Linked DNA regions of Saccharomyces cerevisiae S288C. The gene in region 1 interacts genetically with each later gene. Each region holds a gene or a part of one and is shown in the gene's direction. Other genes may lie near its edges.

Region 1 (3,886 bases):
TTTCTTTTTCTTCACTCTCCTCATCCACGTCATTTTGATCGTTGTTTTCACTTTTGGTGGAATTTGCTTTCACAGTCTCCTCCTGTGTGGACTCTTCGCCTGGTGTGCCCTCTAAATCAGGAGTTTCAGATCCTATAGAGCCTGTGGCACTGCTATTTTTATTCTTCTTACCTTTATTCTTTTTATTTTTCTTTTTCTTCAATTCTTCTACTCTCTTTCTAGCCTCTTCCAATTGTTTCATACGCTTAACTTCATCAGACTCCTGTTCAGACATTGTAACTATATGATAAACTTGCTCAATTCAGGTTGGTTCAATGCAAATTATTACATCCCTTTTTTATCACAAGATCTTCGTAACAATAGTACTAATTAATAGTGCTGGGGATTCTCAACCATTTTTTTTTTTTCAAAAGCGAAAATGGATAAAACGGTGGCAACTTCAAACAAGTTGAGGGAAGCCAACGCAGCGTTTAGGAAAACGTACGACAAGAACAAGAAGATCATCACATTGTAATTATGGATTTAACCGTGGAACCTAATTTGCACTCTTTAATTACCTCTACCACTCATAAGTGGATTTTCGTTGGTGGTAAAGGTGGTGTTGGTAAGACTACTTCATCATGTTCCATTGCTATCCAAATGGCTTTGAGTCAACCAAACAAACAGTTCCTACTGATCTCTACTGATCCTGCCCATAACTTAAGTGATGCATTCGGTGAGAAATTTGGTAAAGACGCCAGAAAGGTGACAGGCATGAATAATCTATCATGTATGGAAATCGATCCATCCGCTGCTTTGAAGGATATGAACGACATGGCAGTTTCACGCGCTAACAATAACGGAAGTGACGGTCAAGGTGACGATCTAGGAAGCTTGCTTCAAGGTGGTGCTCTTGCTGATTTGACCGGTTCCATCCCTGGTATCGACGAAGCTTTATCCTTCATGGAAGTCATGAAGCACATTAAAAGGCAAGAACAGGGCGAAGGTGAAACCTTCGATACTGTTATTTTTGACACTGCTCCAACTGGCCACACATTAAGATTTCTACAACTACCAAATACTTTATCCAAGCTTTTGGAAAAGTTCGGTGAAATTACCAACAAATTGGGCCCAATGCTAAACTCTTTTATGGGCGCAGGTAATGTCGATATCTCTGGAAAATTGAACGAGTTAAAGGCTAATGTCGAGACCATCAGACAACAATTCACGGATCCTGACCTAACGACTTTTGTTTGCGTTTGTATCAGTGAATTCTTATCCTTATATGAAACTGAAAGACTAATTCAGGAATTGATTTCCTACGATATGGACGTTAATTCCATCATTGTCAACCAATTATTATTTGCTGAAAACGATCAAGAGCACAACTGTAAGAGATGTCAGGCAAGATGGAAGATGCAAAAGAAGTACTTGGACCAAATCGACGAATTGTACGAAGATTTCCATGTCGTTAAAATGCCATTATGTGCTGGAGAAATCAGAGGCTTAAATAACTTAACAAAGTTCTCACAGTTCCTAAACAAAGAATATAACCCTATTACTGATGGCAAAGTCATTTATGAGTTAGAAGATAAGGAATAGAAGCCCCTGAATACCATAAATAGATACATACGACATATAACCATAGAAAAAATAGTAATACGATGGTATGTGTGTGAAAAGAAAAAAATTACGTGACGCGACGCGTTTGTTTACTTTTTTCCATTTTATTTCCATGGTATTTTTCAAATGATTTTGGAAAATTATTAGATATTGTTGAAAAAGGAGGAAATGAGAACCCTTTATAGTCGAGAGTAACAAGTAAAGGGGCTTAACATACAGTAAAAAAGGCAATTATAGTGAAGATGAGTTTGTCCACGAAAAGAGAGCACTCTGGTGATGTAACTGACTCTTCATTCAAAAGACAGCAACGAAGTAATAAGCCCAGCTCAGAATACACTTGTCTGGGCCATCTGGTGAACTTAATACCCGGAAAGGAGCAAAAAGTGGAAATAACAAATAGAAACGTTACTACAATCGGTAGAAGTAGGTCGTGCGACGTTATATTGAGTGAGCCTGACATCTCGACTTTCCATGCTGAGTTTCATCTACTGCAAATGGATGTGGATAATTTCCAAAGAAATTTGATTAATGTTATCGATAAGAGCAGAAACGGAACTTTTATTAATGGTAATCGTTTGGTGAAGAAAGACTACATCCTTAAGAATGGTGACAGAATTGTCTTTGGCAAAAGTTGCTCCTTTTTGTTCAAGTACGCATCTTCATCTTCTACTGACATCGAAAATGACGATGAAAAGGTAAGTTCAGAAAGTCGTTCATATAAGAACGACGACGAAGTTTTCAAGAAACCGCAAATAAGTGCTACAAGTAGCCAAAATGCTACAACGAGTGCCGCAATTAGAAAACTGAATAAGACAAGGCCTGTGTCGTTCTTTGATAAATATTTATTAGGTAAAGAATTAGGTGCAGGGCACTACGCCCTGGTGAAAGAAGCCAAAAACAAAAAAACTGGTCAGCAAGTAGCTGTGAAAATATTCCACGCTCAGCAAAATGACGACCAAAAAAAGAATAAACAATTTAGGGAGGAAACTAACATCCTAATGAGAGTGCAACATCCAAACATTGTCAACTTACTAGATAGTTTTGTAGAGCCAATCAGCAAATCTCAGATTCAAAAATATTTGGTACTGGAAAAGATCGACGATGGCGAACTATTTGAAAGAATCGTCAGAAAAACATGTTTGAGACAGGATGAATCCAAAGCTCTATTCAAACAGTTACTTACCGGATTGAAGTATCTGCATGAGCAAAACATCATTCACAGAGACATCAAGCCAGAAAATATCTTATTAAATATAACAAGGCGCGAAAATCCAAGTCAAGTCCAACTTGGCCCATGGGATGAAGATGAAATTGATATTCAAGTTAAAATAGCGGATTTTGGCCTAGCAAAATTTACAGGAGAAATGCAATTCACAAACACACTTTGTGGTACGCCTTCTTATGTAGCGCCCGAAGTCCTCACAAAGAAAGGATACACATCAAAAGTAGATCTTTGGAGTGCTGGTGTCATATTATATGTCTGTTTATGTGGTTTTCCTCCATTCAGTGATCAATTGGGGCCACCTTCATTGAAGGAACAGATCTTACAAGCTAAGTATGCGTTTTACTCTCCGTACTGGGATAAAATCGATGACTCAGTACTACATTTAATATCCAATCTTTTGGTCCTAAATCCTGATGAAAGGTACAATATAGATGAAGCTTTGAACCACCCTTGGTTCAATGACATACAGCAACAAAGCTCGGTCTCATTAGAATTGCAGCGTTTACAAATTACTGACAATAAAATACCCAAAACATACTCAGAATTATCTTGCCTCTAAACATGAGAAGCATTATTTCAAAAACATTGTTTGAATCTGGATTTTTCCAAGTATCTATTTATATATACATATATATCCACCAACATGCAAAAAGTTGTTAGCCTTTCTTAATCCTAATATGATGTGCCACCCTATCGTTTTTTACCATTTGCTTAATTGTTCTACTTTCTCCTGCAGCTCTTTTTTAACCTTAACCCGCATATAAAAAATGTCACAGTTCTTATTTGAACACAAAACTTCACTATGTAAGTTACCAGCGCACCTTTGGCATTGTGTCCATAATCTTGAGTATTTTTCCTCTAAATCTCTGACATCGTATAATGCCTTTATGTATAATTCTCCAGACCTTGCTAGACAGTTTGAACAAAGAGGGCCTTCACCTTTCCTCAACGGACCTTTACAACTTTTACAAGCCTCAACTTTTTTAATAAAGCTCATCAAGCCTCCTTTTTGAGAGCCTGTGTTAATTTTAATGGATTTCACAACGAACATACCGTTCG
Region 2 (11,507 bases), on another chromosome or scaffold:
CGGTGACACTAGTTATAAAATTGATGGAAAAACTGTCTCCTATAAGGACTATTCTATATTTCTTGAGAACGAAAATATTCTTATCAAAGCCAAAAATTTTCTAGTGTTCCAGGGTGATGTTGAGCAAATTGCAGCACAATCTCCCGTAGAATTATCAAGAATGTTTGAAGAAGTATCAGGTTCTATCCAATACAAAAAGGAGTATGAAGAGTTGAAGGAAAAGATTGAGAAATTAAGCAAATCTGCAACCGAATCTATAAAAAATAGGAGAAGGATCCATGGAGAATTGAAGACATATAAAGAAGGTATCAATAAGAACGAGGAGTATAGGAAACAATTGGACAAAAAAAATGAATTACAGAAGTTCCAGGCTCTATGGCAGTTATATCATTTAGAGCAACAAAAAGAGGAGCTAACGGACAAGCTGTCCGCATTAAACTCTGAAATATCGTCTTTAAAGGGAAAAATAAATAACGAGATGAAATCATTACAACGCTCAAAATCTTCCTTTGTTAAAGAAAGCGCAGTAATTTCTAAGCAAAAAAGTAAATTAGATTATATCTTCAAGGATAAGGAAAAATTAGTCTCGGATTTACGGCTCATAAAGGTTCCTCAACAGGCAGCAGGGAAGCGAATTTCCCATATAGAAAAAAGAATCGAAAGTTTACAGAAAGATCTTCAAAGACAGAAGACTTATGTGGAGAGATTTGAAACACAACTAAAAGTGGTGACCAGATCAAAGGAAGCTTTTGAAGAGGAAATCAAACAATCTGCTAGAAACTATGACAAATTCAAGCTAAATGAAAATGATTTAAAGACATATAATTGCTTACATGAAAAATATCTGACTGAAGGTGGGTCAATCCTAGAAGAAAAAATTGCCGTTTTGAACAACGATAAGCGAGAAATCCAAGAGGAATTGGAGAGATTCAACAAAAGGGCAGATATTTCTAAAAGAAGGATAACGGAGGAGCTTTCTATAACAGGAGAAAAATTGGACACGCAATTAAACGATTTAAGAGTTTCTTTGAATGAGAAAAACGCCCTTCATACTGAACGTTTGCACGAGCTGAAAAAATTACAATCTGATATTGAATCTGCTAATAATCAAGAATACGACTTAAATTTCAAGTTGAGGGAAACGTTGGTTAAGATCGATGACTTGAGTGCTAATCAAAGAGAAACAATGAAAGAAAGAAAACTAAGAGAAAATATAGCAATGTTGAAAAGATTCTTCCCCGGAGTAAAAGGTCTTGTTCATGATCTTTGTCACCCAAAAAAGGAGAAATATGGCTTGGCAGTGTCTACCATCTTAGGTAAGAACTTTGATTCCGTCATTGTAGAAAATTTAACCGTAGCTCAAGAATGCATTGCATTTTTGAAGAAGCAACGTGCGGGCACTGCATCTTTCATACCACTAGACACAATTGAGACAGAGTTACCTACATTATCATTGCCTGACTCACAAGACTATATTTTATCAATTAATGCTATTGACTACGAGCCGGAATATGAAAAAGCGATGCAATATGTGTGTGGCGATTCCATCATATGTAATACGTTGAATATTGCTAAAGATCTGAAATGGAAAAAGGGCATAAGAGGCAAATTGGTTACAATTGAAGGTGCTTTGATCCACAAGGCCGGTTTGATGACAGGTGGTATATCAGGAGATGCCAATAATAGGTGGGATAAAGAAGAATATCAAAGCTTAATGTCTTTAAAAGACAAATTACTAATCCAAATCGATGAACTTTCCAACGGTCAACGCTCTAATTCAATCAGAGCAAGAGAAGTTGAAAATAGTGTTTCACTATTGAACTCGGACATAGCAAATTTGAGAACTCAAGTAACACAACAAAAACGCTCCTTGGATGAAAATCGTTTAGAGATTAAGTACCATAATGACTTGATAGAGAAAGAAATTCAACCGAAGATAACTGAACTAAAGAAGAAGCTAGATGATTTAGAAAATACTAAAGATAATTTAGTGAAAGAGAAGGAGGCTTTACAAAATAATATTTTCAAAGAATTCACTAGTAAAATTGGCTTTACAATCAAAGAATATGAAAATCATTCCGGTGAATTGATGAGACAACAATCTAAAGAATTACAGCAGTTACAAAAACAAATTTTGACCGTTGAAAATAAGTTGCAGTTTGAGACAGACAGACTAAGTACTACTCAAAGAAGATATGAAAAGGCGCAAAAGGATTTAGAGAATGCTCAAGTTGAAATGAAGTCTTTGGAAGAACAGGAATATGCAATAGAAATGAAAATCGGATCAATAGAGTCTAAATTGGAAGAACACAAAAATCACTTAGATGAGTTACAGAAGAAATTTGTAACGAAGCAAAGTGAATTAAATTCCAGCGAAGATATTCTAGAGGACATGAACAGCAACTTACAAGTCTTAAAAAGGGAAAGAGACGGTATAAAGGAAGATATTGAAAAGTTTGATTTAGAGAGAGTAACAGCGTTAAAGAATTGTAAAATTTCTAATATAAATATACCTATATCATCTGAAACAACGATAGATGATTTACCAATATCTTCCACTGATAATGAAGCAATTACAATTTCCAACAGTATCGATATAAACTATAAAGGACTACCTAAAAAATACAAAGAAAACAATACCGATTCGGCAAGGAAGGAGCTGGAGCAGAAGATTCATGAAGTGGAGGAAATATTGAACGAGTTGCAGCCCAATGCAAGAGCTTTGGAGAGATACGACGAGGCGGAAGGAAGGTTTGAAGTGATTAATAACGAAACAGAACAACTAAAGGCCGAAGAAAAGAAAATATTAAACCAGTTCCTAAAAATTAAGAAAAAAAGAAAGGAACTGTTCGAAAAGACATTTGATTATGTGAGCGACCATTTAGACGCAATCTACAGGGAACTTACTAAAAATCCCAACTCCAATGTGGAATTGGCCGGTGGTAACGCTTCTTTAACCATAGAAGACGAAGATGAACCGTTCAATGCGGGAATCAAATATCATGCCACTCCGCCTCTTAAAAGATTCAAAGACATGGAATATCTTTCTGGTGGTGAAAAAACCGTAGCTGCATTAGCTCTATTATTTGCTATTAATTCCTACCAGCCTAGTCCCTTCTTCGTGCTGGACGAAGTGGACGCAGCCCTAGACATTACTAACGTCCAGAGAATTGCTGCCTATATAAGAAGGCACCGTAATCCAGATCTCCAATTCATTGTCATTTCATTGAAGAACACCATGTTTGAAAAATCTGACGCTCTCGTTGGGGTTTACAGACAGCAACAAGAAAACTCGTCGAAGATCATAACTTTGGACTTGAGCAATTACGCAGAATAATCTATGAAACCAACCTCTGCTATAACCCGTCAAATAACTAATAATATCTATATAGGTCAACTAGCTAGTGCAATATCATAGTAACAATAATATTAATAACGTCACTTTTTTTCCAGGGTAACCCAATTGTGGTGGGTGGCGGCCGAGGTATCCCTTAGAAAAGAATTTTTTAAGTTCTTTCTCATCTCTTACCAGTGGAGAAGTACACGATATTTGCAAAGTCTGTCATCAGGGCTTGATAATAAAGCTGCATTAGATCTTAGCAAAAACTACGAGAAGAACATTGAATATTGTAGCTGTATTTGCATACATAAACTTTATCATTGTTCGTTAGCTAGCTTTGCACATTAATTTTTCGATTTGTTACCGCCAATGACCGCTAACAATGACGATGATATCAAATCACCCATTCCCATTACTAACAAGACCTTATCCCAATTGAAGCGCTTTGAGAGAAGTCCAGGAAGGCCCAGTTCTTCTCAGGGCGAGATAAAACGTAAAAAGTCTAGGCTATATGCCGCAGACGGAAGACCACATTCTCCGCTAAGAGCAAGGTCTGCTACCCCAACGCTACAGGACCAAAAACTGTTCAATGGCATGGATTCCACTTCCCTTTTGAATGAAAGGCTACAGCATTATACGCTGGATTATGTTAGTGACAGGGCCCAGCATATGAAGAATATATATGACCCATCATCTCGCTGGTTCAGCAGATCCGTGAGGCCTGAATTTCCTATTGAAGAGTTCTTACCATATAAGACTGAAAGTCATGAAGATCAAGCGAAATACTTGTGCCATGTCTTAGTTAATCTTTATATTGCGATCAGCTCATTAGATATACAAGGTTTGATTTCTATTTCCAGTAAAGATCTGGCTGATTTAAAGAAAGAAGTGGATGATTTAGCTCTTAAAACCGATCTTTTCAGGTTATCTAACAACACAGCGGAGAATGACTTACTTGGTAACGATATTGCTGATTATGACGATGCGGAAGGCCTGGAGGACGAATTGGATGAATACTTCGACTTAGCAGGCCCCGACTTTAATGCTACCGGAAAAATCACAGCTAAATCAGCTACTATTGTGAATGTAAACCATTGGACTAATGAGCTCAAAAATTGTCTACATTTTGATTTTCCAGTAGCTTTAAGAAAGTCGCTAGCGACAGTTTATTATTATTTGTCTCTTGTTCAGGGCCAAAAGGTGTATAGACAAATGCATGTCGATATGTTCGAAAGATTAGTAAGCCTTGACGATGATAGGACAAATTTCACTGAACTGTTGCAAAAACAAGGTCTTTTGCTAGATCATCAAATCATGCTCAATTTCCTGTGCGAATTTCTACCTTATCCAGATCCCGACTATGCTCGTTATGAATTATCATCAAAGGAAGATTTACAGTTATTTAGATTACTTTTGAAGCATGCACATAATGCAAAACCATTTTTCGATAAGTCAAAGGAAAGTTTGTTAGTTGATACGATGAATTTTCTGTTGTCTAGTCTTGCACCATCTACTATGATGGCTGTCATGCCTATCGTTACATCCGTTGTGCCCTATCATTATCATATCCATTCTAAGATCATCGATTATTTCCCGTTTTGCTATAGCATCTGGAGCTCAGTCAGCGCAAACGTGGCCATCGACACTCACATGTATGATTTTGTTGGGTCAATTTCCAAAGACGTTCATAATAAGATTTTGAGTAGCGAGCATGAAAAGGATGTAGTTGGAGTGGAGTTTGGAGAATTCGGGATTTTTACTGATGATCAAATGACTTTTATGTTCAATAGGTTACAAGGCCATCTTAGAACAGACGGTCAAATACATTCGTATTCCCGCACAGTGAAGCCTTTTGTTTATGCTATAAACGGATCAAAAAAAGATAGGTTTTTTGAAAAACTTGTAAGTTTAGCCAAAGCAATCGAAACATTTATCCATCCCTCTAATAATGGGTTTTGGACCAAGCCAAATGCTAAATTCGTTCATGCATTTATAAAGTCTTACCACGGAAGGGTCAAATATGAAGAAGATATTTGTGCTAGGGGCGTCACAAATGGGATATGTTTAACTTCTTTTTGTCACGAAGAGATAGTTGAAATATTCTTAAATATTATCAGTCTGGGTTCACAGAATAAAAATCCTGATATTGCGAACTATTACATCTCTTGTTTCGCATATCTGTTAGAGCTGGATCCTTCAAATGCATATTTAATTTATGACAAAATACTGATAGATTTGTACGATACGCTGGCTGACCAATTTATCAATTCGAGACACAGAATCATTTCCTCTTTGAAACAATTTACAAGAGTAATTCGGTTTATTGTGATGGATAAGCTATATCGCGTGCACATAACAAACGTCCTTTCGATGCTGGTCTCCAAACTTGATATGAACGATACTAATTTGACAAGCAACCTCATCAACGGTATTGTATCTATAGCCGCTTTCATTCCTATCCAAGACCTCACTGGGGAGGACGATTATATATCGTTTGAATCGGATACTCTTCCTTTAGTTCAACAACATTTTTATCATATTAAGTGTGGCGAAAGTTCAAAGACCTTCCGAGTTGATGATGAACTGTTAAATAACGCTTTCAAAGCTTCCACTACAGTTTTTCAAAGTATGCTAAAAGTATACGTAGAAAAAATTTTCCAATTGGTTGATGTAGACTTAGAGGACTCTTTGGTTACTAAAATAAACCAAACAACTATGATTTTACAAGAGTCTATGGACGATAAAATATTTAATTATTTTGCTTCTTTATTACAGAGAAACTTCTGGAGTAATGACTCCTTCAAGGAAAAGGATCCAAACTATGAATTAGTTACTATCCCACTAGCGGCTTTAGTAAGAAGGAATAATGGTTTGAGTAAAGAGTTGGTCAGAACTCTTTTATTCCATATCAAAGAACAAATCAAAAGAGGCGCCGGGTCTGTAAGAAGTACTTCAGAGATTCAACAGAGGGATGTTAAGTTAGTTTTATACTTAACTGCACTAAATGATGTCTTAAGGCAATGTCATGAATCTCTATTGGAGTATAGCGATGAGTTGATAACATTCATGAAATATTTATACGACAACGTCACTAACCCGCCATTGGATGTTATCACATCTATTGTTATTCACAGTGCTTTAGCAACTCTATGTACAACCGAAATAACTGATTGTCGTCTATTCCCAGAGGACTCTAAGATTCCGGAAAAAGACAGATGGGGAGGACTACAGTTCGATCCTCGAAGATTTGATAAACAGCATTTGAGTTTTCAGTGGCACGTACCTTCTAGTGACGAGATAACTTTATCCATAAGCATTCTAGAAAGCCTTTCCGAATACTGTATTAACAACGTAGAAGAACTGATGAAAGCTCCAAGACATGATTCCGAATATGGCGATATGATACAAAAATATGTTTTAGTTATGACACATACGCTTTCCGGGTCAAGTTTACTTTTTGATCCAGATTTTAACAAATATAGGACGCAATCAAACTTATCATACAGAGAGAAACTGATTTTATTAAAGAATATACGCGAAAATAATTGTGACCCTCAAGAACTGGATATTGATATTGAACAAATTCGTTCTGGCAAGGATGATGAAGACTATATTGAGAGTAAGGACATTGAAGCAGGGCTGAATGCAGGAGTTTCCGATGTTGTGCAGTTAAGAGATGAGTTTCCGGATGAATTAATTGTTGATGAAGAAGTAGTGTCTGAGATGCCATCTGGTGTAAATACCCCTATCGCGGGGACGCATGGCACGGACAATTCAGCTATGAGTTCGGATCTAGCTTTCAGGGATTTAGATATTTACACCTGTAATTATTACTTCGGAAATACCACTGAGGAGAAGTTACAAAACCCACAATATTTACAAGTCCACAGAGTTAGAGCGCGCATTGGACATTTCTTTCACAAACTCTATGTTTTTTTATCTACAAACTTCGAAAACAACACCAACATGTTCCAAATTCTATTGCACGGATTGAAAGTTTGGTTCACAGATCTGGGACAAGAAACGGTCTTCAATGAAGACCCAAATGCCTTCATTGACGTTGATTTCCTAGAAAACGTTCAATCTCTCTCACACGTAAATGAGCCCTTCACGAGAACCAATTTTGCAATCAGAGCAAACAGTTTGCACCAGAGTAGAGTTCTATTACATTCAACAAATAGAAAAGCTTCCAAGCTGGAAAACCTATTGTTAGTTGACATCATACAGTTAGCGACATCCCTTTATCCTGATATTTATAAACCAGCACAGGGAACTTTGGTACACTGTATGAAACAATTAGTTGGGTCATATGGCGTAGTCATCAATAAAATTATTCCATCATTAGAGAAAGCGATTAAGGATCATGATTATATGAAAATCCAAGTTATTTTAAATGTTTTGTTAATTAAGAAAATCCATAGGAAGCTTATGACGGATTATAAAGACATCGGCAGATTGATATTTCTGCTTATTGAATGTTGTCGTGTGAATGAATTAGAGATTGGTATGTATGCAGATAAAATCTTAACTGACATAGTGATTGGGATCAAGATTCCTTCTAGTGTATGTGTCATTTCCGATCAAGCTTTCTTACCTTTAGCACCTCCTGATGGTACTATTAATTTGCAAGTTGAAGCGGTAAAGCTTGCCAAAAAGAAAAAGCGTGAGTACTACCTCTCTCTGTTAGTGGATTTGCAGGACAAACTTTTAGACAAATTAGATAATGAAAAAGATATGGGGTGGAAGATAAGAATGTTCATTTTACGTTTTGTTACACAAATCCAATCGAACCTCGAAAGCAAACCCGATAAAAGAGCAGTATTTTCAATAATCTCCCAAATCTCCACAAAACATCCCGAAATCATACATTTGGTTGTAAAGTCATTGTTGTCGACGTGCAACAAGATAATATCTCTCTCTGACTATGAATATGACATCACCAGGGCCTATAAGAATGAATTCAATCCATCATTTGTGGAAATACTGGACACTTCGACCACAAGCTTCCCTAAAACGTTTACTGAAGAAATGAATAACTTTGATAACCCCAAGTATTTTATCGATTTGAGGGCGTATGTAGGGTGGCTATGTTGGGGAAGGCTTATGTACGTCATGTCGCCGAAAGCTTTAAAGCTCAATTTACGTGAGAATGAACTGGAAGTCCTCAAGACAGCTGGTCATCTATTGACAAGAGAATTCCTGAGAGATGTTACAATGAATTTAGTCCAAGATAATGAAACTAGGGGTGTTTTTAGTAGTGGTAACGTGTCATTTTTCTCTTTAGTAATCCTTTTGATATCATCTGGTTTCTGCGAACTGAATATGTCGGATCTCTTTGAGCTATGTGAATCCTACTATAACAAAGACGATAAGGCTTCGATGATCATGTCTGTCGAGATAGTGGCTGGCTTAGTTTGCGGGAGTAAGTTTATGTCAGTCTCTGACTTGGACAAACGTGACACTTTTATCGAAAACTTCCTAGCCAAATGTTTAGATTATGAGTTGAACCATGACGCATTTGAAATTTGGAGCACCTTGGCATGGTGGTTGCCTGCAGTCGTTGATTTAAGAAGGTCTAAAACTTTTTTTTGCCATTTTATCAACGCCGATGGCATGTTTGACCGTGAATCTGATGCAGCCACACATCAAACCTCCAAAATTTACATGCTAAGAAGTATCTTGATGAGCATGGAATTTAGAGCCCCAGATGTTGGTAAGCTATTTGATGAGTTGGTATTTGATCACCCATACGATCAGGTTCGCCAGGCTGTCGCTAAACTATTGACGACCTTAGTTCAAAATCAAAGTAATCCGTCAATTTCAGATCCAACCACATTATTAGAAGCAGAACGGAATGATCCAGATGGATTAGGGTTACCATTAAAAAGCGTCCCAGAAAAGGTGGATGCCTATATTAAGAAGCAGTTTGAGATCATTAAAAATCTGGAAGATTCCGTTGTCGGCCTGAATCCTCAACAATTTATTAAGACAGACTATTTTTACAGGACATCCACAATATTTTATTGGATCAAAGAAATGGCGAGAGGGCCTAATAAAGTTTTGTTAGTTCCATATTTAGTCGATTATGTTTTACCATTTCTGATCGGATTAGTGAAACATAAAGATGTTTGTGCTCTTGCCAGTTTAGATCCTGTTCGATTGTATGCCGGCTTGGGCTATATGCCGATCAGAAAGAACCATGTTGCCGCCATTGTTGACTATGTTTGTTCGTCAAATGTAGCACTATCTTCAAACCAAACGAAACTACAGCTAGCTTTCATCCAACACTTTTTATCAGCGGAACTGCTTCAACTTACTGAGGAAGAAAAGAACAAAATTTTGGAATTTGTTGTCAGCAATTTGTATAACGAACAGTTTGTAGAGGTGAGAGTTCGTGCGGCATCCATTTTGTCTGATATCGTCCATAACTGGAAAGAGGAACAGCCGTTGTTGAGTTTAATCGAGAGATTTGCAAAGGGTCTCGACGTCAACAAATACACGTCGAAAGAAAGACAAAAGTTATCCAAAACGGATATCAAGATTCATGGTAACGTTTTGGGTTTGGGAGCTATTATATCAGCGTTCCCCTATGTTTTTCCCCTACCGCCATGGATACCCAAGCAACTAAGCAACTTATCCTCGTGGGCCAGGACTAGTGGTATGACTGGACAAGCTGCCAAAAATACTATTAGTGAGTTCAAGAAGGTGAGGGCCGACACTTGGAAGTTCGATAGAGCATCTTTCAATACGGAGGAACTGGAAGACCTGGAGGGTGTCCTATGGAGAAGTTACTATGCCTGATTCATATTAGTATAGGATATTAAGCACATATCTAGACATATATGTACATCTAAACAAATAGCTGGAGCTATCTGCTGATTAGTTTTACTCTAAAAGTAAGTTGTTAGTGTAACTATGATCACGGCTGCGTGCCGGGTAATAAATCAATTTTGAGGAAAACTGGAAGTTCACCACTGAGAATGATCAACGGCAGGGAAACGTTATACCAAACAAAGCATTCTACCTCTAGGGAAGCTGGAAACTTGAATTACCCACTATAGCTTGTCTTTTAGTGATCCATTATTCCAACCTATTGCAATTCCAAGAAAATAAACTAGGAACTTTTTTTTTTGGAAGAATAAGAAAAGGAGAAAAAGTAGACATACTGTATATACACGAGGGCGTATCGTTCACCAGAAAGAATATAAACATAACAAGATAAACATGTCAGGCTTGAGAACTGTTTCTGCTTCATCCGGTAATGGAAAGAGCTATGACTCTATTATGAAAATTTTATTGATTGGTGATTCTGGTGTTGGGAAATCATGTTTATTGGTTCGTTTTGTTGAAGACAAATTTAACCCGTCATTTATCACCACCATTGGTATTGATTTCAAAATAAAGACTGTCGATATCAACGGTAAGAAGGTAAAGCTGCAACTTTGGGATACCGCTGGTCAAGAACGTTTCCGGACAATCACCACAGCGTATTATCGTGGTGCTATGGGTATCATTCTTGTATATGATGTGACAGACGAGAGAACATTTACTAATATCAAGCAATGGTTTAAAACCGTTAATGAGCATGCGAACGATGAAGCACAGCTACTGTTGGTTGGTAACAAGAGCGATATGGAGACGAGAGTGGTAACAGCTGATCAAGGTGAAGCCTTGGCTAAGGAGCTGGGTATACCATTCATCGAGTCCAGTGCTAAGAACGATGACAATGTCAACGAGATTTTTTTCACCTTGGCGAAGTTAATCCAAGAAAAAATCGACAGTAACAAGCTTGTTGGCGTCGGTAACGGTAAAGAGGGCAATATTAGCATCAATAGTGGGAGCGGAAACAGTTCTAAATCAAATTGCTGTTGAAGAAAAGAAGATTTTTGCTTCTTTGAGAATTAATCGTGAACTGGAATTAGAGCTATAAATCGCTTGATTCTTTTTTCCCTTTTTCTCAATATTCGCAGGTTATTTTTCCTTTATATATATACATTGTTTGTATCTTTTTTTGATTACCATACTTACTATTTTTATATTAGTCATATTAGATGTCACTTTTATATTATCTAAACAATTCAAACTTCTCACACTAACTTTTTCAGCATACTTCTACTGTTGTTCTCTGCTCTGGAAGGTATTTTCATCAGGCGATTGGTAAAAAATC
Region 3 (6,607 bases), on another chromosome or scaffold:
TGTGAAAAAAAAAAGAAAATGAAGATACGAACATACCTGAAGTGGGAAAGGCAGTTGCCACAACCAGAAGAGCATAACATATTGTCATGACCTCTTTATATGCACCTGGGGCGGAGGATATTCGGCAAAGGTTACGTCCTTTTGGGTTTTTCTTTGAGAAATCACTAAAGGATTTGATTAAGGGTATTAGGTCTCACAACGAAACACCAGAAAAACTGGATCAATTCTTTAAACAAGTATTAAGTGAATGCCGGGAAGAAGTGAACTCTCCAGATCTAAATTCTAAGACCAATGCCGTTCTTAAATTGACCTATTTAGAGATGTACGGTTTTGACATGGCTTGGTGCAACTTTCATATCTTAGAGGTTATGAGCAGTAATAAACTTCAACAAAAACGTGTGGGGTATTTGGCTGCATCACAATCTTTTTACAAAGATTCTGACATTTTGATGCTTGCAACTAACTTGTTGAAAAAAGACTTAAAGTATGACGGAAACAATGATGTTGTTAAAGTTGGCATTGCTTTAAGTGGTCTTTCCACTATAATTACACCCTCATTAGCAAGAGATATAGCTGATGATTTGTTCACTATGCTAAACAGCACAAGACCGTACATAAGAAAGAAGGCCATTACCGCACTATTTAAAGTTTTTCTGCAATATCCAGAGGCTTTGAGAGATAATTTTGATAAGTTTGTTTCAAAGCTAGACGATGATGATATATCTGTGGTTTCTGCCGCTGTCAGTGTTATTTGCGAGCTATCAAAAAAAAACCCCCAACCATTCATCCAGCTTTCACCTTTATTATACGAGATATTAGTTACCATTGACAATAACTGGATAATCATTAGATTATTGAAGTTATTCACCAACTTATCACAAGTGGAACCGAAATTGAGAGCCAAGTTATTGCCGAAAATTTTAGAACTGATGGAGAGTACTGTTGCAACTTCTGTGATCTATGAATCTGTCAACTGTATTGTCAAGGGGAATATGCTAGAAGAAGATGATTTTGAAACAGCAATGGCATGCCTGGAAAGATTGCACACATTTTGTGATTCTCAGGATCCAAATTTGAGATATATTAGCTGCATATTGTTTTACAAGATCGGCAAAATCAATACTGATTTTATTTCTCGGTTCGACCAACTGATTATACGCTTACTCTCCGATGTCGACGTTTCTATAAGATCAAAAGCAATTGAATTGGTTGAAGGTATTGTTGATGAGGATAACTTAAAGGCAATTGTCCAAACATTGATGAAGCAATTTGTAGATGAAGATGTGGTTATCCTACAAACTGGAAGCATCGTATACGAAAAATCAAAGAGAATTCCCATAATAATTCCAGAAAATTACAAGATAAAAATGGTGAACGTCATTATATCGATTTGTTCAGCTGACAACTATTCCAGTGTTAACGACTTTGAATGGTACAATGCAGTAATAATGGACTTGGCGATGCTCTGTCAAGACATATCTGATAAAAGCCTTGGATCAAAAATTGGTGAACAGTTTAGGAATTTGATGATAAAAGTTCCTTCAATGAGAGAAGTAACCATTGCTAATATTATAAAGCTTATTTCAAATGACAATATTAACAAACAGTTGCCTACCGTATTGAGAGAATGCATTTGGTGTCTCGGAGAATTTTCTACCCTAGTTGAAAATGGTAACGACTTAATAAAAATCATGACTGAGAATATCAGTTATTATTCTCATAGTGTACAAGAAGTTTTAATTTTAGCACTTGTTAAAGTATTTAGTAATTGGTGTAATAACTTTCAGGAGGATAAACGCTTTGAAATTAAAATGGTGTTAAAAGAGCTAATTGAATTTTTTGAAAATTTATCTTATTCGAGTACATTCGAAGTCCAGGAAAGAAGCGTAGAAGTTTTAGAATTTTTAAGACTAAGTTTGGAGGCTTTAGAGGAGGATACGGAAGGTCTACCAATGCTACTGAGCGAAGTCCTGCCTAGTTTTTTTAACGCCTATGAACTCGCACCAATTGCGCGTGGGACTCAATTGAAGTTAGCAGTAGATGAGAATCTTGATCTAGAAACTCCATTTTTGACAAAGGAGGCAGCTGATGAACTCTTAGATGAACAAAAAAGTGACGCCATCAGTGATTTAATGTCTGATATCTCAATGGACGAGCAAGTTGAACTAAAATTCGTTGATGATTCTGATACTTCGTATGAAGAAAAGGAAAAATTGGATGATTTTGAAAATCCATTTGAGATTGAGAGAGAAAAGGAACGGATGTCAAATCCTTATTATCTAGGTGAAGAAGACGAAGAAAGAACTAAGAACTCTAAAGATTTGTTGGACTTGAATGAGGAGGAAAGTAGTGATAAAAAGCCAGAAACTATTAGATTAAATAGAACCGATAATTCGTTGAATTCTCTAAGTTTATCTACAACTGAAATCAGCAGAAAGAAGAAGAAGGGAAAGAAGAAAAATAGGGTTCAAGTCTTATCCGATGAACCTGTTATCGAAGCCGCTCCCAAAAGGAAAGATGCATTCCAGAAACCCCATGATAATCATTCAACTCAAAATCCTTTGAAAAAGGACAAGATTAATCTGAGAATGCACTCTCAACTTGAAAATTTTGATTTTTCCAATTTTGGGCAATCGAGTAACGCAGGAAGAGGATCGCAGGAAGAGGGCAACCTTAGAAAGGAAGACGAGTTAGAATTAAGTCGTTTAGAGGCCAATCTTATTGTAAAAGATGAAAAGGATAATTTAAGTGATACTGAAGAAGTTATAGTTATAAAAAAGAAGAAGAAAGGGAAAAAGTCAAAGTCAAAAAACAAACTAAAAACGAAAGCAAAAAATTCTCCAGAACCAAATGAATTTCTTCGAGACCAAAGCACTGACATTTAACGATAAAAAAATCGAAGTCGTGAATTCTCAATGACAGCGATTACGTACGTAAACTATAATTAATTTAAGTATTTTATTCTGCATAGTATATTATTGCGGTGCACTCAATTTGCCGAAAGAGACGGCATATTTAATAATGACGCGAATGAATCAAAGGCCGCCAAAGGTAATCATAGACCAGAGATGATTTGCAAAATTATTTGACATACTATTGCTAGTGTAACAATAACACAGCATAACTTTGCTTAGACATATATGTCATTTAAGGCAACTATCACCGAGTCGGGGAAGCAGAATATCTGGTTTCGTGCGATATATGTGTTATCTACAATTCAGGATGATATCAAGATTACAGTGACAACAAATGAGTTAATTGCTTGGTCAATGAACGAGACAGATACTACTCTTTGTCAGGTTAGGTTTCAGAAAAGCTTTTTTGAGGAGTATGAGTTTAAACCACATGAGATTGTATTTGGAGAAAATGGGGTTCAAGTTATAGAAGATACGTACGGCAATAGTCATAAGTTATACTCCTTCCGTGTTAATGGAAGACACCTAACAACTATATCAAGAAAGCCGGATGGTGATGGCATCAAATCATTCACAATTGCGGTAAACAACACTTCTACCTGTCCTGAATCACTTGCAAATAGATTGATTGTGGTGATTGAAATGGATTCGTTAATAGTCAAAGAATACTGTCCCCAATTCCAGCCAATAAAATACGATCCCATAATAATCAACCTTAAGTACAAAAGGAGGTTTTTGGATGTTTTTGGAACTGCTGCCTCCGATCGGAATCCACAGGAGCCCTTGGACCCTAAGCTATTGGACGTTTTTACAAATACAGAGCGTGAGCTAACATCAGCCTTATTTAACGAAGAAGTGGAATCAGACATACGTAAAAGGAATCAGTTAACGGCTGCTGATGAGATTAATTACATTTGTTGTAATTCAACTTTATTGAAGAATTTTTTAGACAACTGCAATGTTAATGTAACCGATGAAGTAAAATTGGAAATTAACGTACATAGGCTAAGCATAACTGCATTCACCAAGGCCGTCTACGGCAAAAATAACGACCTTTTAAGAAATGCGTTAAGCATGAGTAACACTATCAGTACGCTCGATCTTGAGCATTATTGCTTATTTACAACAATCGAAGATGAAAAACAAGATAAGCGATCACATAGTAAGCGTAGAGAGCATATGAAAAGTATAATATTCAAATTGAAGGACTTCAAAAACTTCATAACGATAGGTCCATCCTGGAAGACTACCCAGGACGGAAATGATAATATAAGTTTATGGTTTTGCCACCCAGGGGACCCTATTCTTATGCAAATGCAAAAACCGGGCGTAAAATTAGAATTGGTTGAAGTTACTGACAGTAACATTAACGATGATATTTTAGAAGGAAAATTCATAAAAACAGCAATCTCTGGCTCCAAAGAAGAGGCCGGACTGAAAGACAACAAAGAAAGCTGCGAAAGTCCATTAAAAAGCAAAACTGCTTTAAAGAGAGAAAACCTGCCACACTCTGTGGCTGGAACTCGAAACAGTCCTTTGAAAGTGTCGTATCTGACCCCTGATAATGGAAGCACAGTTGCTAAGACCTATAGAAATAACACGGCAAGAAAATTATTCGTGGAAGAACAAAGCCAAAGTACGAATTACGAACAAGATAAGCGGTTCCGGCAGGCTAGTTCAGTTCATATGAACATGAATCGGGAACAAAGTTTTGACATTGGTACGACTCATGAAGTGGCCTGTCCACGTAATGAGAGCAATTCTTTAAAAAGATCCATAGCAGATATTTGTAATGAAACTGAAGACCCCACCCAACAATCTACATTTGCAAAAAGGGCAGACACCACTGTGACATGGGGAAAAGCGTTACCAGCTGCAGATGATGAGGTTTCATGCAGCAATATCGATAGAAAAGGAATGCTCAAGAAAGAAAAATTGAAGCATATGCAAGGTCTGTTGAATTCCCAGAATGACACAAGTAATCACAAGAAACAGGACAATAAAGAGATGGAAGATGGGCTGGGTCTAACACAAGTAGAAAAGCCAAGGGGTATATTTGACTAAAACCATAATGCAAAATCAGTATAAAGGCGTGTAAATATTAGATGAAGTAGCAATTATCATGATAATATCGATCGCTGTTTTTTTTTTTTTTTCTGTCTCAATTTGGTGAGCGTGCGGCTGATGGTCCATCACGGTCGGGGAACAAACTAAAATTTTCAATAGCATAATATCTCTATATTGCATAGCTTTTTACTTAATAGGAACTTAAAAATTTCATTGATGCTATTATATTTAACTCATAAGTCAATCTCTTTTTCCATTTTGATTAGCTTATTGCGACATGGACTATGAATTATAATAACTTTGAAAATTCGAAGGGTGATGGACATTCTAGGCTTCCCAAACCTACATACTCCGGAACGCTATCAGATGGCTATGATGAATCGAAAATTAAAAGGCAAAAAACAGACTCTGCTTTTAATGCAGCTTACTCACCTCATATGTATCCGAACTCTCCGTATTATGAAGGTTCATGGAATACCGGTTATACTCCTCAACTTCATCATGTAGCCCCTCATAATCAATATTTCCATCCAATACAACCGTCCACTCAGTACAATTATACGAGTCCTCCCAATTATACAGAAAATTACATACCGCCAGTTCATCAGAATATATCTTATGCACCAGCGCTTAATTTACAGAAGTGGCCATCATCATATTGTGAAAACACTCAAGCCTTAAAGAATGATAAAGATTACCAAACATCAATTAGTTATGAAGATGTTGCAATACCGACCGTAAAGGAAATACAATTGATTGAGAAAAACAGAGGGAAAGATACGTTTATGAATGAAATAAGTCCAGTACCATCAAGCAAGGATCAAGCATCTGCGGAGCCTACAGAAATCCCAAGAAAGGATCCCGAGCTGGCAAATTCTAATGCCGAAGATGATCATAATAACTTAGGGCTAGAAGATGATGATCGTGATGAGCAGTTAGAATCAGAGGGGTTGGGTAAGGTGGTTTTGGTTCCTGGAACCTCCATAGCATTGATTACTGATGAAGATGTTAAAAAGTGGAGAGAAGAAAGAAAAAAAATGTGGCTACTGAAAATATCCAATAACAAACAGAAACATATGCAAGAAATGGGCATAAAGGAAGATGAACTGAAGAGCCAACCTAGCATTTTCAAAGAGTCAAGGAAAGAAAAGCAATTTATACAGAGTATTCAAAATCAAGTGCAGAGAGGAAATCCGAAGATTGACTTGAACTTGAAATTGATACAGCGAGAATTCGCAAACGAAAACTCCCAACTTTTGGACTTTATAAGAGAATTGGGAGATGTAGGATTACTTGAATATGAGCTATCTCAACAAGAAAAAGATGTACTTTTTGGGAGCTCTGAAGATAATAATAAAAATCATTACAAACCAAATTACAAAAACAGGAAACCTAATCTGAGTAGAGCCAACTTTACTAGAAATAAGTAATAGAATAGCAAATATTGATATACATGGAAGAGTACATGCAAAGGTGCGTAAAAAAAAATAAGTCAGATAAAACTAATTACTGTTTAGAAATCATGAGTATATGAAACTAATTTTGAAGAGCTTTAACTGCTAGGTTACTTAAAACAGTAGTTACAGCAGCACCAAGGAACGAACCGAAAATGGCACCTTGGTAAA
Region 4 (7,533 bases), on another chromosome or scaffold:
CTAAATTCGATGGCCGTTTCTCGTCATTTATGTGATATCATAACACCATATATGGCAGTACATCAGGCATAAGCACTAATCCGTAGAAATTAGTTGATCCCAAGTTTAACGGACTCGAAGTCCTGTTAATTATGTGAGCCGAAGCGTAGGAATATTAATGTAATAGAATCAATAAATGACTGTATATTAAAACGAAGAACGAAAGAATTTTACCACTTTGTAAAATATTAGATTGCGTTGAGGGGCTTGTGGTCACCTGTCATAGGATGCCTATGTTCCCCCCAAAAATTTAATTCTGAAGTAAGTTTTTGTTGAGTACTTCAACTTTATTTCCTTCAATTGTGAAATGTTGATAACTAGCATCTATTACTATCCGATAACGCCAGGCGCCTTTATATCATATAATTAAGACACAAAAGGATAAAACAAAGGTGTTAACTATTCTGCATACTCACTATCGTAAACTGTCCTGCAAATCGTGTAAATATGTATTTCATTTTTTTTGCAGTGAAAAAAGGCATGTAAAATACCGCATCAAGTAACTCTACTCCGCCTGTGGTTTCAAGACTAACGGCTTGAGACAAAATGGGAAGAAATGATTGCAGAAAAGCCATATGTGTAATAGCAAAAAGCTGGATAGTGCTTACCAGATGTTTACCTTAATTTCTTGGTGAATTAGAGAAGTACAGAAGTTTTACTATTAATCCCACCATAGAAATTTGTATAGGAAAGTAGTTTATTGGAGTTATTGGATATACTGTGTAAACTATTTCTTGAAATTGTAATCTTAAGATGCTCTTCTTATTCTATTAAAAATAGAAAATGATTTTCATATTTATTTATTTATTTATATTTTGGCATTACTCTTCATCATTTTTTTCCCTCTAAGAAGCTTCCTTTCTTTTTATAAGGATAACAAAACCAAAAGGAATATTGGGTCAGATGAATGGACGCGAATGCAAGACAGAAGTCCAAATCACGTCAAGACAAAGAAAGAAAGAAAGAAAAACTAACACATTAATGTAGTTTTAAAATTTCAAATCCGAACAACAGAGCATAGGGTTTCGCAAACAAACTTAAATATATGCTAGAATAAAAATTAACTATCATCTATTGACTAGTATTCATATATGACGTAATAAAATGAAATGTAGATTCATTTTGTAGATTCCTATATCCTCAGAGAGAATTTTTGGTATATCCTATATGCATAATATTATAGTCTTTGCCAACAATCGAAACCAAACATATATCTTAAAATACACCACTTTCTCAAATAAATTCGTTAAATAACGGTGTGTTGAAATGTTTACCGTAACTTGTAACAGCTCTAACAACTCATACCTGCTATGTACTGATTCCAAGAAAAAAAAAATGGAAGGTCGGGATGAGCATATACAAGCACTAAGAAGAACAATACAGAACTCTACACGGTATTATTGTGCTACAAGCTCGAGTAAAACCGAGTGTTTTGACGATACTAACGTTGTTAAGAAAGTAACTTGTTATCAAACTCATTACCAACTTGTGATTAATTGGTGAATAATATGATAATTGTCGAAATTCCATTGTTGGTAAAGCCTATAATATTATGTATACAGATTATACTAGAAATTCTCTCGAGAATATAAGAATCCCCAAAATTGAATCGGTATTTCTACATACTAATATTACCATTACTTCTCCTTTCGTTTTATATGTTTCATTCCTATTACATTATCGATCTTTGCATTTCAGCTTCCATTATATTTGATGTCTGTTTTATGTCCCCACGTTACACCGCATGTGACAGTATACTAGTAACATGAGTGCTACCGAATAGATGACATTTTAGACTTTCATTCCAACAACTTGGTTGACAGAATGTTACGTACCCTATATCTAATCTATATGAGGCCTGAATCTAACTGAAAGGTGGAATTTCAGTAATTTATCAAGCTTTAATAAGTTTGGGTAGTTTAACTGTGCAAAAAGGTATTTACCTTACATACTGAATCTTGTCTGTTTGGTAGCGGCTGCTTTATGGGTGTTTCATAGATGTCCAAAATATATTGAGATATTGAGATATAACATTCTAGGATAATCAAAATTACCATAATTCAAAAGCTCGTATGGCGCAGTGGTAGCGCAGCAGATTGCAAATCTGTTGGTCCTTAGTTCGATCCTGAGTGCGAGCTTTCTTTTTTAGACTACTAATTTTATTTTGCTAGTCATTTTTTTTTTATACTCAAAAAGTAAAAAGACTACGAGTATATTCAAAGTAAAAAACGAACGTCAAACTATCTCGATTAAAACTTGTCATACTGTGGGTATCATATTCTGTGCCCTCAGTGAAAAGAACCAGCAAAAGAACGCGCATCTCGAGTGAAGACGCGCCCTTGATGGTACAAAATTTAACGGGAAGGCGCGTCGTGATGTTCACGCGCTTTGCCCACATTGGGATAGCGCCCACAGCATATCTGTGCTAAACTCACTTTTCCTAGTGACTGCCGATAGCTACTGCCATCTACCGCGAAGGGAACTTCATTTGCGTTCATCGGTTTATTAGAAGCTACTTGGAACTAATTCTTAAGCTTCTCAAGAAAAGTTTTTTTTCTGTCTATCTATTGAAGTCTTTTTGTCTTTGTACTTCAAGAGACTCAATCACCTAAAGCTTTTCACGGCCAATTAGTTGTCTCACACAAAGCAAAATAAGCTTAATAATTAGCAGTAACGCGCTTTTCCCTGTATTTAAAGCCGCTGAACACCTTTACTGAACAATGGGAGAGAACCACGACCATGAGCAGAGTATTAAAAGAAATTCTATGATTTATAATGAAAATGAGAGGCAGTTGTGCAATTCAAACCTAAAGATTCTTCAAAATAAAAGGGCCCTTTCAAAAAATGACAGCTCTAGTAAGCAGCAGGTTCAGGATTCTAAACCAAGAAGGGCTTTAACAGATGTACCAGTGAACAATAATCCTTTAAGCCAGAACAAGAGAATAGTAGCAGGGAGCAAGGCGGCCAAAGTACGAAGAGAAGAAAACATTAGACCTATTGTTAGCGCCGTTCAAAAAAGACAGATATATAACGATCGAACGGCAGCAGAGCAAGAAGAAGAAGAAGAAGAAGAAGGAGAAGATGATGATGCTGCTTCGATAGTGAACAAAAAACGCAGAATAGACGCTGAAGGAGTGAGTGAAATAGTAGGCTGGCAGGACCTAGATTATGTTGAAAAAGATGATACTGCAATGGTAGCAGAATATTCTGCTGAAATTTTTGCATTTTTATATAGAAGAGAATTAGAAACGTTACCATCGCACAACTATTTACTCGACAAAACGTCCAAGTATTATTTGAGGCCTTCCATGAGAACAATATTAGTGGATTGGCTGGTAGAGGTGCACGAAAAATTTCAATGCTATCCGGAAACGTTATTCCTATCCATAAACTTAATGGATAGATTTTTAGCTAAAAATAAAGTTACGATGAACAAGTTACAATTATTGGCAGTTACCTCACTTTTCATCGCGGCAAAATTTGAAGAGGTAAATTTGCCCAAACTAGCTGAATACGCTTATATCACTGACGGCGCGGCTTCTAAAAACGACATAAAAAATGCGGAAATGTTCATGCTCACTTCCTTAGAATTCAACATTGGTTGGCCCAACCCACTCAATTTCCTAAGGAGGATCTCCAAGGCAGATGATTACGATCCGGTTAATAGAAATATTGGTAAGTTTATTTTAGAGTATGCCTACTGCTGCCACCAATTCATTCATTTACCTCCATCTACCGTAAGCGCAATGGCAATGTATATAGCGAGAAGAATGACCAACAGAAACAAGAACGAGCTATGGAATGGAACACTACAGCATTACAGTGGTGGTATCGATCCAATACACGATGAAGCGTTTCAGTCTCTCTGCATTGATCTAGTCAAAGACATCGCTAGTTCCAAAACTCATTTAGATTCATTGATTTTGAAGTACAAGAAACCAAGGTATGGCTCTGTTTATTTCCAAACTTTCAAGTGGTGTACATCCGAAATGCATAGCAACTTTCAAAATCTATTTAATCTTAAGTAGATTAGTACTAGTAATGCTCATGAATTCGCATACTCTTTACATTTTCTTTTCTTTTTGCTGAACTAAAAGGAAAAAATTTTTTGCATCTATCTATCTATCTATATATATGTATATATAGTTTATAGTGATATGCGTGTTCACTTCAACATATATAATACCACCAGTATTACTACTATTATCATCATTAATATTAGAATTTTTTTTGTTTTTAAATTTATTCTTTTATTTTTATTATTATTATTATCATTATTACTATTAAAAAATTATTATTATTAATGTTATTCCAATGTTAATTATAATAACTATACTGAAATAATTTTAAAAGAAATGAAAAATGAGAAGAAAGCAGCATTTTTTAAGAGACTAAGGTTATGATATTTCCCATAATATCAACATCCGATACTGATGCTTTTCTTTGTCTACCCTCGCTACATGCATCCGGAAACGGTTGAACTGAAATAGAATAAAACTTATGGTACAAATCTGAAATTAAAATTAAAAAATTAAAATTAATGGTGTGGTGTTATTAGTGAGAATAAAAATGGAGTTTTATTTTGGAAATCTTAGGCTTCGAATGATTTTTTATCGTCAGTTTAAAAATAACAGAATGAAAGGCGCTAAAATTGGGTGTGAAATTTGTAAGAATAAATGGAAATGTGAAAAGAAATGATTAAAAAGCAGCCATACATTTTATATGGACATTTATCGATTATCGTTTTAGATATTTTAAGCATCTGCCCCTCTTCTCATTCATGCAAGGTCATTATATCATAGCCGTTTTTTCTAACCTTTAAAGCCCATTGGACGGAAATTATAGAAGCTTTCATAAATCTTCTAGATTGATATTTTCTATGAAATTCATCATGAACAATTGGACTCACTAGATAATCCATTATCATGTGACACACGGGCGCAAGTTCTTCTTTAGTATACCCGCCGCTATAGTGTATTAGATTTCCATCCCATTTACCTTTACCTAACATTTTTCTCGACATAAACATCGCAGCTGCTGCACACAATGAGGGTAGTATCCCAATAAATCTGAAATCTACCAATGATATCTCTAATAAGAATTTGGCAAGAGTTCGAGACTGTATATCGTAGTCATCTGCTTTCGAAATTCTTCTCAGAAAATTCATCGGATTGGGATAATTTAGGTTAAATTTCAATGTCTTTAAAATGAATTTCTCCCCTTCTTTGATTTCATCTTCCGTACATGCACCGTCTGTCTCTGATGCGAAATGTTTTATACTAGGAGAATAGACCTCTTCATATTTAGAGGCAATGAAAAGGCATGATGTGCCAACCAATTGTAACTTATCCAGTTGAACTAGCTCTTTACCTAAAAACCTGTCCATTATGTTAATGGCAAGATACAAAGTCTCCGGTAATAAGCCGAATTTATTATGGATTTTAACCAACCAATTAACTAGGATATCTCGATTTTGATGAATATTTCTATGCTGATAGAGATCTTCCTTCTTTGGAAGAGTAATGACCTCTAGTTGGTGGAGATATTCGAATATATCATTGACGTACTCGCTGACCATGAATGGATCATTTACATCTTCTGCATCTAGGTCTTCCCATTCATATTCTTCTTTGCCATTTTCATCGCACACTTTAAACTTTTTGGGCAGTTCTTGTTCAACAATTGTAGAAATTGGTCTTTTTTTTCCACTATCAGTTTCACTTTCGGTATTTCTAACTTGAAGTTGACTTCTAGCTGGATGAAGTTTTTCGTTTTCTACCGAGTTATGGACTACCTCAGTGCTTGATCCAACGCCTTTTAGGGGATCATGCTGGATTATCTCCTTCGCTGAGGAGGATTCTTGTAAACTTATATTTGCAGGCAGCTCAGCTCTCCCCTCCTTTATAGAAGTTAGCGCACCAAATTGCTGACTACTTGGGTCTTGGTTTTCTTTATCATCTAAAAGATTGTTTTTGGGGAGTTGGATACCATTTTCTTTCAGGGTTCTTTTCTCCTCTTGTGCGGCTGTTGATCTTGATACGCTTTCTCTAGTAAATTGAGGAATCCGACTTCCCTCCTTCTTTACTGAGTTTAGTGTAGATTTGAAATTTGTTAGGGCTGGATTATTCGCATTACTCTTTTGAAATGTCGTATTTGTTACATTGTTTAAGGCCAACCTTTGTACATTCCTCAAAAACCTTGATGAACTAGTATTCTGTGAGTTTTCTGTGTTTTCTATTGGGTTGGACATCTATAAGATCAATGAAGAGAGAGAGGGGGTAATCAATAAAAGGCTTCTTGGAAGGAAATAGCAAGTTATAAAAAAACTTCTGACAAACGAGCGAATGAAGTTTTTATACAATGATTAAAATTTCTCCAATGTCGTTAAAAGAATCTAAAAGGACAAAAATACAAAAGGAAAACAGATGCTCAATCAAAGAACCGCTTCAACAGATATTCTATGTCAATTTATTGAATAGCTCGCAGTAGGTTTTTATTATACACTGGCTCAATCAAAAAGAAAGAAAAAAAGAAAGAATAAATAACCAGTATCCTTTAGCTATATTTCTTTCGCTTTTCAGAAGTATCAATTCGAGAATACTTTACTTCTTGAGGTATAGGACAAAATTAATACCAGAAAGATTCAATTTTAGTAAATTTTTGGATCTTTTCAAAAGTCTAGCTAAATTGGCAAAAAATTAACCTAAAAAAAATCTATTTTATTATATTTTGATTTTTTTTCCTTTCTAAATTTTTGAGAAAGGATCTATTTCTCTTTTCCCCAAAGAGGTTATATTTTCCATTAAGAGCAAAATTTCTGAAACTCTATGCCCATGCTATGAGATGCTAGCTGTAACGAGTTTGCTATTTCCTCGAGGGACAGGCACCGAAGTTCATCCATATCGCGAACTTCGTTGTTGACCTTTTCCTGATTCGGTCGCTATATTTACAAATCTCCTTTTTTGATTAGTGCCTTGAACTTGCACTTTCCTAAACGGGCTCAATATGTAAACATATTATACAAATAGTTACCCGCATTTGGAATAAAATCTGTCTTTTGGCGGCTATTTCCGCGTGTTTGATTAGAAGGAGTAGTGGTCATTCTAATAATTCCACTGTGCTAATGCACTCGCACTTAATTTTTAAACTTCCGATGCATCAACACTAATGATCATAGCATAAAACGCGTAGAAGGCGATCTTAAGTTTGAGTCCCCCTAAGGCACCTTAGTAGACGGTCAAGAACAGGGTGTGAATATGGGCGATATTCAAGCGAGATTAGGACTTATAAAACAACAACAACAGGGATAACAAAACACTTGACCCCTATTTTTGTAATAAAACCGTTTTCAAGGTAAGGCAGTTAGTAATTTATGTACAACAGAAATTTCTGCCATTTCTTTCACGACAATAACGTAGGATAAGGCCATGAAAAACAAAAATACTAAAGTGCTTATCTAATAAAAGGAAAGGATTAAGCAGTTCCTGCCCATAT

What was found.
Region 2: mutations in DUN1 (region 1) and BLM10 together harm fitness more than expected from each alone (negative genetic interaction), as found in Saccharomyces cerevisiae (5 studies listed by BioGRID, with this or other methods).
Region 3: mutations in DUN1 (region 1) and DDC1 together harm fitness more than expected from each alone (negative genetic interaction), as found in Saccharomyces cerevisiae (5 studies listed by BioGRID, with this or other methods).
Region 4: mutations in DUN1 (region 1) and CLB5 together harm fitness more than expected from each alone (negative genetic interaction), as found in Saccharomyces cerevisiae (9 studies listed by BioGRID, with this or other methods).

Annotation. Positions count from the first base shown.
Region 1 is NC_001136.10:279,807-283,692, reverse strand, and holds DUN1 (serine/threonine protein kinase DUN1), read left to right. Parts: upstream 1-1,844; coding exon 1,845-3,386; downstream 3,387-3,886. Other genes in the region: BUG1 (Bug1p), read right to left, coding at 1-274; guanine nucleotide exchange factor GET3, read left to right, coding at 517-1,581; DNA-directed DNA polymerase delta POL3, read right to left, coding at 3,528-3,886. UniProt on the Saccharomyces cerevisiae protein: Transducer of the DNA damage signal. Phosphorylates SML1 on serine residues. Cooperates with the PAN deadenylation complex in the regulation of RAD5 mRNA levels and cell survival in response to replicational stress.
Region 2 is NC_001138.5:119,770-131,276, forward strand, and holds BLM10 (proteasome activator BLM10), read left to right. Parts: upstream 1-3,709; coding exon 3,710-10,141; downstream 10,142-11,507. Other genes in the region: cohesin subunit SMC1, read left to right, coding at 1-3,337; Rab family GTPase SEC4, read left to right, coding at 10,565-11,212. UniProt on the Saccharomyces cerevisiae protein: Associated component of the proteasome that specifically recognizes acetylated histones and promotes ATP- and ubiquitin-independent degradation of core histones during DNA damage response.
Region 3 is NC_001148.4:176,137-182,743, forward strand, and holds DDC1 (Ddc1p), read left to right. Parts: upstream 1-3,140; coding exon 3,141-4,979; downstream 4,980-6,607. Other genes in the region: APL5 (Apl5p), read left to right, coding at 87-2,885; RSA1 (Rsa1p), read left to right, coding at 5,267-6,412; pheromone-regulated protein PRM3, read right to left, coding at 6,519-6,607. UniProt on the Saccharomyces cerevisiae protein: Component of the checkpoint clamp complex involved in the surveillance mechanism that allows the DNA repair pathways to act to restore the integrity of the DNA prior to DNA synthesis or separation of the replicated chromosomes.
Region 4 is NC_001148.4:770,409-777,941, reverse strand, and holds CLB5 (B-type cyclin CLB5), read left to right. Parts: upstream 1-2,759; coding exon 2,760-4,067; downstream 4,068-7,533. Other genes in the region: B-type cyclin CLB2, read right to left, coding at 4,814-6,289. UniProt on the Saccharomyces cerevisiae protein: Required for efficient progression through S phase and possibly for the normal progression through meiosis. Interacts with CDC28.